Linked DNA regions of Pelodiscus sinensis. The protein of the gene in region 2 interacts with the protein of the main gene of each other region in a biochemical or structural test. Links are inferred from orthologs where the notes say so. Each region holds a gene or a part of one and is shown on either strand. Other genes may lie near its edges.

What was found.
Region 1: the proteins of DLAT (region 2) and PDHB form a complex in vitro, tested with the Homo sapiens proteins (2 studies listed by BioGRID and IntAct, with this or other methods). The link is inferred for Pelodiscus sinensis from reciprocal best matches to the Homo sapiens genes DLAT and PDHB.
Region 3: the proteins of DLAT (region 2) and PDK2 form a complex in vitro, tested with the Homo sapiens proteins (2 studies listed by BioGRID). The link is inferred for Pelodiscus sinensis from reciprocal best matches to the Homo sapiens genes DLAT and PDK2.

What each region holds. Positions count from the first base shown.
Region 1 is NC_134721.1:460,932-464,678, reverse strand, and holds the start of PDHB (pyruvate dehydrogenase E1 component subunit beta, mitochondrial), read left to right. Parts: upstream 1-813; 5' UTR 814-962; coding exon 963-1,016; intron 1,017-1,096; coding exon 1,097-1,206; intron 1,207-1,558; coding exon 1,559-1,571; intron 1,572-1,644; coding exon 1,645-1,752; intron 1,753-1,836; coding exon 1,837-1,899; intron 1,900-1,979; coding exon 1,980-2,015; intron 2,016-2,161; coding exon 2,162-2,447; intron 2,448-3,420; coding exon 3,421-3,531; intron 3,532-3,747. UniProt on the Homo sapiens protein: The pyruvate dehydrogenase complex catalyzes the overall conversion of pyruvate to acetyl-CoA and CO(2), and thereby links the glycolytic pathway to the tricarboxylic cycle.
Region 2 is NC_134736.1:6,917,012-6,920,758, reverse strand, and holds the start of DLAT (dihydrolipoyllysine-residue acetyltransferase component of pyruvate dehydrogenase complex, mitochondrial), read right to left. Parts: upstream 2,543-3,747; 5' UTR 2,464-2,542; coding exon 2,224-2,463; intron 1,631-2,223; coding exon 1,529-1,630; intron 514-1,528; coding exon 389-513; intron 279-388; coding exon 122-278; intron 1-121.
Region 3 is NC_134739.1:15,279,398-15,283,144, forward strand, and holds the start of PDK2 (pyruvate dehydrogenase kinase, isozyme 2), read left to right. Parts: upstream 1-769; 5' UTR 770-822; coding exon 823-928; intron 929-3,747. UniProt on the Homo sapiens protein: Kinase that plays a key role in the regulation of glucose and fatty acid metabolism and homeostasis via phosphorylation of the pyruvate dehydrogenase subunits PDHA1 and PDHA2.

The DNA.
Region 1 (3,747 bases), on a different chromosome or scaffold from region 2:
AAGAGTAAGTGGTGGGCAGATCATAGAAGAGTGTTACCAGCCTTGATTTTTCCAGTCTGACCTCTGCTTCAGATACACAGATTTAACTCCATTTCCATGGATCTATCCCAGCTCATTAACTCGCAGATAGACACAAGGAGTTCTGAGGCCTTCATGGTTACATCACATGGAGACACCATACCAGTGAAGCAGCACAGGCACTTTGACACAGAAAACACAGCCTGGCTGTGCAGAGGATAGTCCCAGGGGGAGCCACAAGTCTCCAGGTGCTGCCTGGAAACCCCATTCATGTGGGTTCATGCTAGCATTGTGACTTCACAGCATGACATTACACCCAAACACTGTGACACAACACAACAGCAGAACTGTGAAGGGGGTGTGGTGTCCCACGGCCTCTTTTTCAGCCTGCCTTCCCTACCATAACTAGAGGCTCATAATGTGAGCAGATTTGGGCCGATTTTCACAGGCACGTCCCCCAAACTACAGCAACCACCTGCTAAGTTTCAGACCCCTGCACCAAGGAACCGGATGCATGAGACCTATTAACCAAAAAAAAAAAAAGACTCAAGACTTGTGGCCAAGAATAACAACTGCAGCCCAGCTTCGTGCGTGCACCGACCTGGCTGAAACCCCCCAAACCAGCGGGAAAGGTCGGATAGTAGCAGCTGCAGACCTGGAATGCTGCCCTCCAGAAAGGCAAAGTTGTAAAGGATGGCGCCCCCTGCTAGTTTTGGTCCATGCGCGTCGCCGTACTCGCAGGGCAGGCGGACGTTCGGCCCGCGGCTTCGCAGAACGCGCTCAATCCACTGAGGGGCGGCAGCGAGGCAAGGACAGCCCTTCGGCCCCTCTCGCGAGAGCGGCGGGCGGCTCCGCCCCCGTGTGCGGGTGGGCCCAGCTGCGATTGGACAGCCCGGGCGTTGCGTAGTGACGTACGGGCCCGGCCGGCAGAGGGCAGAGGCAAGATGGCGGCGGCCGCAGGAGCGCTGAGGGGACTAGTGCGACGGGCGCCGCAGCAGGTAGGGTCGGCCTGGCCCCCCTCCCCTCCCCTCCCCTCCCCTCGCTGCTCGGCGCTCACGCGCGTCCCGTCTCTCCGCAGGGCCCGGGCCGCCTGCTGCAGCTGCGGAGCGGGATCCACGGCTCCGCGCCGGCCGCCGTGCAGGTAACGGGCCGCGGGCAGGGCGGTGGGGCGGGGCCGGGAGGCGCGCGGCGCTCAGCGCGTGCCCTGCGCCCAGGTGACGGCTCGTGGGGCCAGGCGGGGCCGGGAGGCGCGCGGCGCTCAGCGCGTGCCCTGTGCCCCAGGTGAGGGCTCGCGGGGCAAGGCGGGGGCGGGGCTGGGAGGCGCGCGGCGCTCAGCGCGTGCCCTGTGCTGCAGGTGAGGGCTCGCGGGGCAGGGCGGGGCCGCTCAGCGCGTGCCCTGTGCCCCAGGTGACGGCTCGTGGGGCCAGGCGGGGGCGGGGCTGGGAGGCGCGCGGCGCTCAGCGTGTGCCCTGTGCCGCAGGTGAGGGCTCGCGGGGCAGGGCGGGGGCGGGGCTGGGAGGCGCGCGGCGCTCAGCGCGTGCCCTGTGCCGCAGGTGAGGGCTCGCGGGGCAAGGCGGGGGTGGGGCTGGGAGGCGCGCGGCGCTCAGCGGGTGCCCTGTGCCACAGGTGACGGTGCGCGACGCGCTGAACCAGGCGCTGGACGAGGAGCTGGAGCGGGACGAGCGCGTGTTCCTGCTGGGCGAGGAGGTGGCGCAGTACGACGGCGCGTACAAGGTGAGCGGGCTCCGGCTCCCCCCCCCCCCCCCGCCAGCTGGGGAGCGCGCGCTTAGCCGCCCGTTTTTGCTTTGCTTCTCGTAGATCAGCCGCGGTCTCTGGAAGAAGTACGGGGACAAGAGAGTGATGGACACGCCCATATCCGAGGTACCGTGCCAGTGAGTGTCCTCATCCCCTTGTCCGGGGCTGGCAGTCATACTCATCCCTCCTTGCTTTTTCCTTTGCAGATGGGCTTTACAGGAATTGCGGTAGGCGCTGCCATGGTAAGTCCTTTCTGGTGTTGAAGTCTGATCAGTTTTTTCTTGGCTTAATTAATTTCACAGAAAAACTGTTAAATGCAGACACTTTTACTGTTTGTTACTAGTGAATTAAATGCTTAACTACTAACATAGCTGTCTTAATTTAACAGGCTGGGTTGAGGCCGATCTGTGAATTCATGACCTTCAACTTCTCCATGCAAGCAATTGATCAAGTTATAAATTCTGCTAGTAAGACACTTTACATGTCTGCAGGCATGGTGCCTGTCCCGGTTGTCTTCAGAGGTCCCAATGGTGCCTCTGCTGGAGTAGGAGCACAACACTCTCAATGCTTTGCTGCTTGGTATGGGCATTGTCCTGGACTGAAAGTAGTCAGTCCTTGGAGTTCAGAGGATGCTAAAGGCCTACTAAAAGCATCAGTCCGGGATGACAATCCAGGTGAATGTAACTTTTTAATAAATACTGTGGTCTTATTGCATCTACATTCATAGAGCTGAAAAGTCAAAGTTATTTTACCCATTAGCCACAACAATGAACTTGGGAATTTTAAGGGGTACTCTGCTTCATGCAGTGGCTTTAATGGTTGCACATGTGATTATGCACATTTTACTTGGTGGTGATTCTCCTTAGAAGAAGTAGGTGCTGTGCAATGTCTTGTTTGGTACCACAACTTTGACTTTGCTTTTTCTTTTATATGTAATAGAAATGTACCTTGCACTTGGAGCAGAAAGTGGCAAGGCTTGTGATAGACTTTTGTTCCTGGTGGAGTTCCTTCCACTCTGTTGGACTGACCCCCTGAGAAGGTTGTGTCTCCTAAATAGATGAGCTTCAGTATTACTGAGAGTTTTTATACCAAAGTCCTTTTCAAAAATCTTTACAAGTCATTTTGACTTTTATGGAGACTTCATGAACTTCAAGGGAGAAATCTTGCATAAACTCCTGACTTTACTTCCTCTTGTTAATATTCAATTTAGAGCAAGAGGAGGGGGGTCTGGATGTTTTGTTTTTGTAATAGGAGCCAGGTAGAACATGCTGTATTGCCTTAAGGACCTCATCCTTTTGATCCTTCCCCACACCAATAATAGGACTGACTGGTGTTGGATCACCAAATATTAATTGCTTAACATGGTAAAATTAACCTTAACAAGATCATTCGGGTAAACTTGTAAAACAGTGCTGAGCTACTAGCTGCTCAAGTTAATCATCTTTTTCACGCGGATACAAATGTGCTAACCTATGGTTTTATTGTTTGCCTTGTGAGCCACGAGGAGCTTTGTATAGCGGTGCCCTCTAACACACTAGGAATTGGGGAAGGGGAAAGAGTAGGGTAGGGAGGAGAGGTCGGATGATGTTGTAATAATACTTTCATCTGGAGAAGTGCATCAAAATAAGCACTCAATGCTTTTTTCAGTTGTGATGCTGGAAAATGAATTGATGTATGGAGTCCCTTTTGAAATGTCAGAAGAAGCTCAGTCAAAGGACTTCCTTGTTCCTATTGGAAAAGCCAAAATAGAAAGACCAGGTAAGTTCAGAATACTCTTACCATATCATATAATCTGATTTTTTTTTTTTTAGGTTCTCCTGGTCTGTTGGGTAACTTTAATTGAATAATATATTTCATACAAAACGCTCCCTATGGAATAGGAAAATATTTAAAGGGACAGAACTGTAAAGTTGAGTTTGTTTAGACCTCAACATACTGTACTAATCTCCTGTTGTTAAAACAGAACATCACTTG
Region 2 (3,747 bases):
CCAGTGAGACCTATGCTTTGTATCCACATCACAGTGCCTAGGATATAACAGTTTTAGAGAGGCAGAAGAGACACCGACAAATGTTAAGGAATAATTCACTGAGGATATGGATATGCTTTACCTGCATGTGAGGAGGGTAAGAGCTTCCTGGAGCCTGCACAGAAGGCTGAGCTGGTGTTGGGGGAGCTGCTGCTGGAGGGGGAGGCACTGAGGCTGCTGGGACAGCAGATGCTATGGAATCCAAGGTAAAATTCTTAAAGGCATCAATAAACTCAGGCCTAGAACAGGAATGAAAGAAGATAATACAGAAAAAAATTCTTCATCAAGAGCACCCAGCCTGCCAGGTTCCCAAAACAGTATTCTAGTGAGATGTGATCAATCCACTTACTTTTCAACTGTGATGCATATTACAGACCCAATGGGAACATCCCTTGTCCCTTCTGATACCAGGATCTTGGCCAAGTAACATTCTTCCATACTCTCAAACCCCACCGTCGCTTTGTCCGTTTCCACCTTTGCAGAAAGAGAATGATCTTGTAATGGGGCAGGGGCGGGGGGAGCCTTCACATCAGCTCAGAATCATGAAGTTTGATGTTTGTGGGTTAGAGGTGAAGATTCCTGGTGCATAAAGCCATGGTGAGAATTAGCTCATCTGGCAGCAGCAACTTGGTTGAAAAGGAAAAGACACTGTAGAGCAAATAAGGTTCAATCGCTCTCATAAGGAGGTAGAAACAGCAGGCAACGCGGAGAGGCAGTGGGGTTGTGGCTGTTTTTAATTCCTTCAATAAAAAGGCTTCAGAAGAATATTTTTATTATTTGTATTTCATTGTACCTAGGTGCCCCAGACATTGATCAAAACCCCACTGTGCCAGGTGCCATATATATATAAAAAAACCTAGAGAGTCCTTCCTTTCCCAACACAGGTGTCTGGGGTGAGGACTCTCTTTGGGTTTTGTATACGTATAACTTGTTTTATATAAGGTGCTTGTTTGAAAATTTAACAATTGGCTACTAGAAGCTGGCATTATGGGCTGATGAGAGGTGGGAGCCAAACTTACAATGCTGAATCAGAGATAAGAAGTAAGGATGAAGTCAGAACATTTACATCTGCTTGGGGTGACCTGAGACAAAATCCGGGGCATGTACTTAGTATGGGGGCAATTTTAGAAATGATAGCGTGTCTTGTCCTCTAGTGATGGTGTAGCTTCCCATCCCACCAGAAAGTGAGAGGCCCTAAGGGAGATCTCATCCACAAGAACTGTCCCTTGGTGCCAATGTTCCCTTAAAGCTTTTCCATCCACGTGCGGAATTTTTCTATCAATATGTGGAATAAAGTTTATGTACACCACGATATGTGGAAATGTGCACCACCAGTAGAAACAAAAAACCTAACTGTGGGCACTCTGCTAATCAGCTGGGAAGTACTGGAATCTCTCCTGAGCAGCTGCACAAGTGCACAGCTTACAGGGAACACTGCTTGGTGTCCCATAACTGGTCCTCCTGGTCGCGAGTAACCTCTCCACAGTACCTCTGCAATCAGATCTCCCTCGCTGATCTTTTCCCCTTCCTTCTTCTCCCACCGAGCGATAGTCCCCATCTGCATTGTAGGGGAAAGAGACGGCAAAGCCACCTGCAAAAGAACAACCCAGTCACAGTAAAATTACCATGTTTTACAAGCAGCCCTGAAACAACCTTCCACCAAGAAAGGTGAGAGGCCAGTTCATGCTCTCGTATCCAGAAACAATCAAGGTGTCAACCATAAAGTAACCATAAAGCTAATGCAACAATATTTATTCAGAGCCCTTCTTCCCAATATGCCTCATAACTGGGACAGACTCGCCGCACTCATCCCCTTGAGCGCTAAAGGGCAGCTAATGACGCGGTGCAAGGCAGGGGGACAAGGGCAAATCCCAGTATCGGGAGATCCATTCTCAGCGAGGGCAGATTACTGGGCTCTCAGCAAGCGGCTTCTAGGGTGATCGGGGTCACGCCCTGCTGGTTGGGGGGCCTAGGAAGAGTCGGACCCTGCTCCAAGGCCTGGCGGGCGAGTCTGTGGGGTGGGGGGGACGTTTCAGTGGGGGGGTGCAGTGGGGGTTCAGGGAGCAGCCGCAGGGTCGCGGAGGACACGAGCCCAGCGGGGGGGGGGAGCAAGGGGGTGACCCCGGCCGGGGGAGGCTGGGAGCGGCCCCCACAGCCCCGGGGGTTCGAGTCCCGGCCCCTCACCTTCTGGTGGGGCGGGAGGCTGCACCACCGCCGGGGGGCGGGGCGGGGCCAGGGCTCCCTCGGCGGCAGCAGCAGCCCCGCGGGCCCGGGCCCCGGTTCCAGGCTGCTCCGGCCCCGCGCGGGCCCCAGGCTGCCCCCGCTCAGGGCGCGGGCCCCCCGGCCCGGGCTCGCTCCCGCCCCGCCAGGCACCCGCCGCGGGGCCGCGCACGGGGCCAGGCGCCGCGCGATCACGCGCCACATGCTGCAGCGGAGCCGGGACCCGCCGGCAGCTCCGGCAATGACCTCGCTCCCCTCCGACTCCGGGCGCCCACCGCGCTTTACGGCAGCGACAGTGTCGCGAGGAGCCGCAAAGCGCAGAGGCCCTCCCCGTGCCAGCGTCCTGGGGAGTGAGAGGGGTGGAGGGAGGAGCTGGGGGCAGGCAGGGAGGGGGTGGAGGGAGGAGTAGGAGAGGTGGAGGGGGGCTGGGAGCAGGGGGGTGGAGTGAGGGGGTTGGGGGGAGGGAGTTGGAGGGGGACTGGGAGAAGGGGGGTGGAGGGAGGAGTAGGGGGTTGGGGGGAGGGAGTAGGAGAGGTGGAGGGGGGCTGGGAGAAGGGGGTGGAGTGAGGGGGTTGGGGGGAGGGAGTTGGAGGGGGACTGGGAGAAGGGGGGTGGAGGGAGGAGTAGGGGGTTGGGGGGAGGGAGTAGGAGGGTGGAAGGAGGGCTGGAGGGAGGTGGAGGGGGGCTGGGAGCAAAGGGTTTTGGTGGCAAGGTGGGGAGAAGATGGGGGATCAGTAGGGTCTGTGGAGTCTGGGGGGGTTATAGCGGGGGTGGAGGTGCAGTTTGGGGGAATAACTGGATAAAAGACAGCACAGAGATGGGGGGCATAGGATAGAACAAAGGATCTGATGCAGGGTAGGAGTAGGGAAAAATCACAGACACTTGGGGGGTCTCTTCTGTTCTATTCACTCCCATTGGTGCCAAGACCGCTCCGCAGTTGGGCACTGGGAAGGTGAAAGGTTACAGGAAGCTAAATACTGAACCCAGATGTGCTGATTCAGTGCATCCTTCTGCAGCTGTCAACCAAGTCCCTCCCTGGTCACCACCGTGCTGCCCCTGTGGGGAATGTAGCTCCTTTTATGATGCTTGTTTTATGACTCACAGGCAGATGCTGTGATTCTTGTATGTACTGATGAAGGAAAAATGCTACACATACTATGAACATGGTTGAGTTTAAACTCATGCAGACCCGCAGAATGCCCTAGGAGGGAGGGAGTTGTGAGATATAAAAGTCAGGTTTTGTCATCACTTGCCAGGTGAGGAACATGAGGTTGTTCCCTAGCTGGGAAGTTGGCTTTAGAGCACAATCAAACCTGTACGTCTGTTCTGCTTAGGCCCCCAGCAGCAGGCCACCAACTTCAGAAATAGTGCCAGGTTGGTCTCAAGCACAGGTTTTAGCATCAAGGTCTTAATTTTTATTATTCAGGGTGTCTCTGCCTCAGTTTCCCCGTTGGTTAAATGTTCCAATCCTTCAGCTACCCTTAGGGC
Region 3 (3,747 bases), on a different chromosome or scaffold from region 2:
AGACACACGCAGACACACACACAGATGCACACACACAGACAGACACACGCACACAGATACACACACACACACAGACATACACACACAGATACACACAGACACACACACACACCCAGACAGATACACGCACCCAGACACACACACAGACACACACACACACACACACACCCAGACACACACACAGACAGACACACGCACCCAGACACACACACACAGACACACACACACACACCCAGACAGATACACGCACCCAGACACACACACAGACACACACACACACACACACACACACACCCAGACACACACACACAGACAGATACACGCACCCAGACACACACACACAGACACACACACACACCCAGACCCAGACAGACACACACACACACACACACACGGACAGATACACGCACCCAGACACACACACACACACCCAGACCCAGACAGACACACACACACACACACACACCCAGACAGATACACACACACACACACACACCCAGACACACACACCCAGACAGATACACGCACCCAGACCCACACACACACACACACACACACACACCCAGACCCACACACACACACACACACACACACACACACACACGGACAGTCAGGCTGGGGGGAGGCTGCTCCGGACGCCCCGAGATCAGGGCCCTTCCCCGCTACGGCCGCGGGGAGCAAGGGGCGGGGCGGGCAGGCAGCGTGAGGGGCGGGGCTAAGGGAGGGGGCGGGGCGGGCGCGGGGCACGTGGGCCGGCGCGCTGCCATTGGCGGGGCGGGGCCGGGGGCGGGGCGAGCTGTCAGTCGGTGGGAGCGCGGCGCGATGCGGCTGCTGCGGGCGCTGCTGGGGCGCGCGGCGCGGGCCTACATCGATCGCTTCAGCAAGTTCTCGCCCTCGCCGCTCTCCATCCAGCAGTTCCTGGACTTCGGTACGCCCCGCCCCCCGCCGCGGGACCGCCCCGCCCCCCGCCGCGGGACCGCCCCCCGCTCTGCGCCCCGCCCCGGGACCGCCCCGCCCCCCGCCGCGGGACCGCCCCCCGCTCTGCGCCCCGCCCCCCGCCGCGGGACCGCCCCGCCCCCCGCCCTGCGCCCCGCCCCCCGCCGCGGGACCGCCCCGCCCCCCGCCCTGCGCCCCGCCCCCCGCCGCGGGACCGCCCCGCCCCCCGCTCTGCGCCCCGCCCCCCGCCGCGGGACCGCCCCGCCCCCCGCCGCGGGACCGCCCCGCCCCCCGCCCTGCGCCCCGCCCCCCGCCGCGGGACCGCCCCGCCCCCCGCCCTGCGCCCCGCCCCCCGCCGCGGGACCGCCCCGCCCCCCGCTCTGCGCCCCGCCCCCCGCTCTCCGCCCCGCCCCTCGGGTATGTGCCCCCAACCCCACCCCCAGGTAACGACGCCCCTTAACTCCACTAATCGCCCCGCCTGCCCCCTCTCCATATCTGCCCCCACCCCCAAGAAAATACCCCAGGGCCCCGCCCCCAGCCGGGTAGCCCCGAAGGGCCCGTGGGGTGGGTGGGCCTGTCGAGTGGCCCGACTGGGGTCTGAGTCCTGGGGGCTCAGACAGGTGGGGCAGGCTGCCCCCTGGGTAAGGGGTCGGGGCTGGGGGGCGGCTCTTGCGGGAGGTGGATGAGCCCCCCCGACTCAGTGGGTCGGGGCTGGGGGGCGGCTCTTTCGGGAGGTGGATGAGCCCCCGACTCAGTGGGTCGGGGCTGGGGGGCGGCTCTTGCGGGAGGTGGATGAGCCCCCCGACTCAGTGGGTTGGGGCTGGGGGGAGGCTCTTTCGGGAGGTGGATGAGCCCCCGACTCAGTGGGTCGGGGCTGGGGGGCGGCTCTTGCGGGAGGTGGATGAGCCCCCCCGACTCAGTGGGTCGGGGCTGGGGGGCGGCTCTTGCGGGAGGTGGATGAGCCCCCGACTCAGTGGGTCGGGGCTGGGGGGCGGCTCTTGTGGGAGGTGGATGAGCCCCCCGACTCAGTGGGTCGGGGCTGGGGGGCGGCTCTTGCGGGAGGTGGATGAGCCCCCGACTCAGTGGGTCGGGGCTGGGGGGCGGCTCTTGCGGGAGGTGGATGAGCCCCCCCGACTCAGTGGGTCGGGGCTGGGGGGCGGCTCTTGCGGGAGGTGGATGAGCCCCCCCGACTCAGTGGGTCGGGGCTGGGGGGTGGCTCTTGCGGGAGGTGGATGAGCCCCCCCGACTCAGTGGGTCGGGGCTGGGGGGCGGCTCTTGCGGGAGCACATCCCTTTGGGATGGGGGTAGAACGCCCCCCTCTCCCGGGCACTTCCCAGCCTGCTAGCTAGAATGGGGCTCCTGGGCCCTGTTCCTGGCCCTGCTGCTGACTCCCTTCTCAGCTCCGTGCCTCAATTTCCCCCACCATTGCATGGGGTTAGTGAGACTGAGCGTGTGCTGGCAGTGGGGGCGTGCTCATACTGTGTCCAGTGCCCTTTGTCGCCTCTTAGAACCATTCACGGCTCCTGCAGCCTGGAGGCGGCTCCCAGCCCCCCACCACTAAGTGTCCCTGGTGCCCATTTCGCTCGACTTCTCTTTTGGGCAGCAATGGAAGCAGAAGGCCCCGGCCGTGCCTGGCTGGCTCGCGCTGCATGGCCGCCTGCCGACGCATGCTGCGCGGTGTGCACGCTCCTCTCCTTCCCGGCCGGTCTCACTGCAGCGGCACCCGGTGCCCGCGGAACAGGCTGTGCCGGTGGTCAGCTGGGAACGTGCCGTGGCTCGGGTTACGGCTGCACGGTTGGGTGCACAGCTGTGGCCTTGTTTACCAGCCTCCCACCTGTCTCCTTAGAGCCCTCTGCTCTGACTCTGATCATCGCGCCCTATTGTTTTCCTCCTCCAGACCCGCCTGGAGATTGGGGCCCATGGCCCTGACCTTGACCGGCCAGGGGGCGGTTTTGTTGGCTGGGTTCCTTGCAGAACGTGGAGCTGCTGCCAGTGTTGGGACAGATCTCTCGCAAGCAGGCTGTGCTGTATTTAGCCAAGGACAGGACGTCAGAGCTCAGGAACGCACAGCGACGCTTCTGCACTGCGTGTGCGGAATGCTGCACGTACCACGTGTGCCAGGCGCTGCTCTCTGGGGTCACCTCTGTGCTGCCCCAGCCCTGTAGCGCTAGCGCACCTAGCCCCCGCGGCAGACACCTGCCCTACCTGCCGGCAGTTTCCCTCTCGTCTCCCCCATCCAGGTGCAGATGGGGGATGCGACCAGGGAGCCAGGTCAGTGGTGCTTACTGGGGACTGTAACCTCTGTCTGGCAGCAGCTCACAGCGGGCGGAGGGCTGGTGCAGTCCTGTGGGGTCAGGAGCCAGCTGCCCCAGGTGGGGAGAGGGGGCGGCACCAGCAGCAGAGCTTTGTGTGGGGTGGGTGCTGGGAACAGAAGCCGGCCCCACTTCGGGGGAGTGGGATCCCGCTTCATCAGTTAACTGGTTAAACCGTAGGCTTCGCCGGTTAATTGATTTGATTCCACATCCCTAGTGCATGTTTGCCATCTGTGGACAGGATGCGCACGGGGGCATGTGCACGTGCACCGCCAGCAGCAATGAAAACCCGGCCGAGCGCCCACAGCTAAGCAACTGGGCGGCGTTTGAACCTCTCTTGAGCGGCCGCACAAGCGCCCAGCTTACGGGGAACGCTGCCGTCTGATGGTACCTCTGGCCTGCCGCGAGTAATGGGGGGTCCTGGTTTGATTCTCAGAGGGAGCCTGAGAAATGGCTCCTGCGCCCAGGGAAAGCAGCTGACGTGCAGATTATCCCCCGG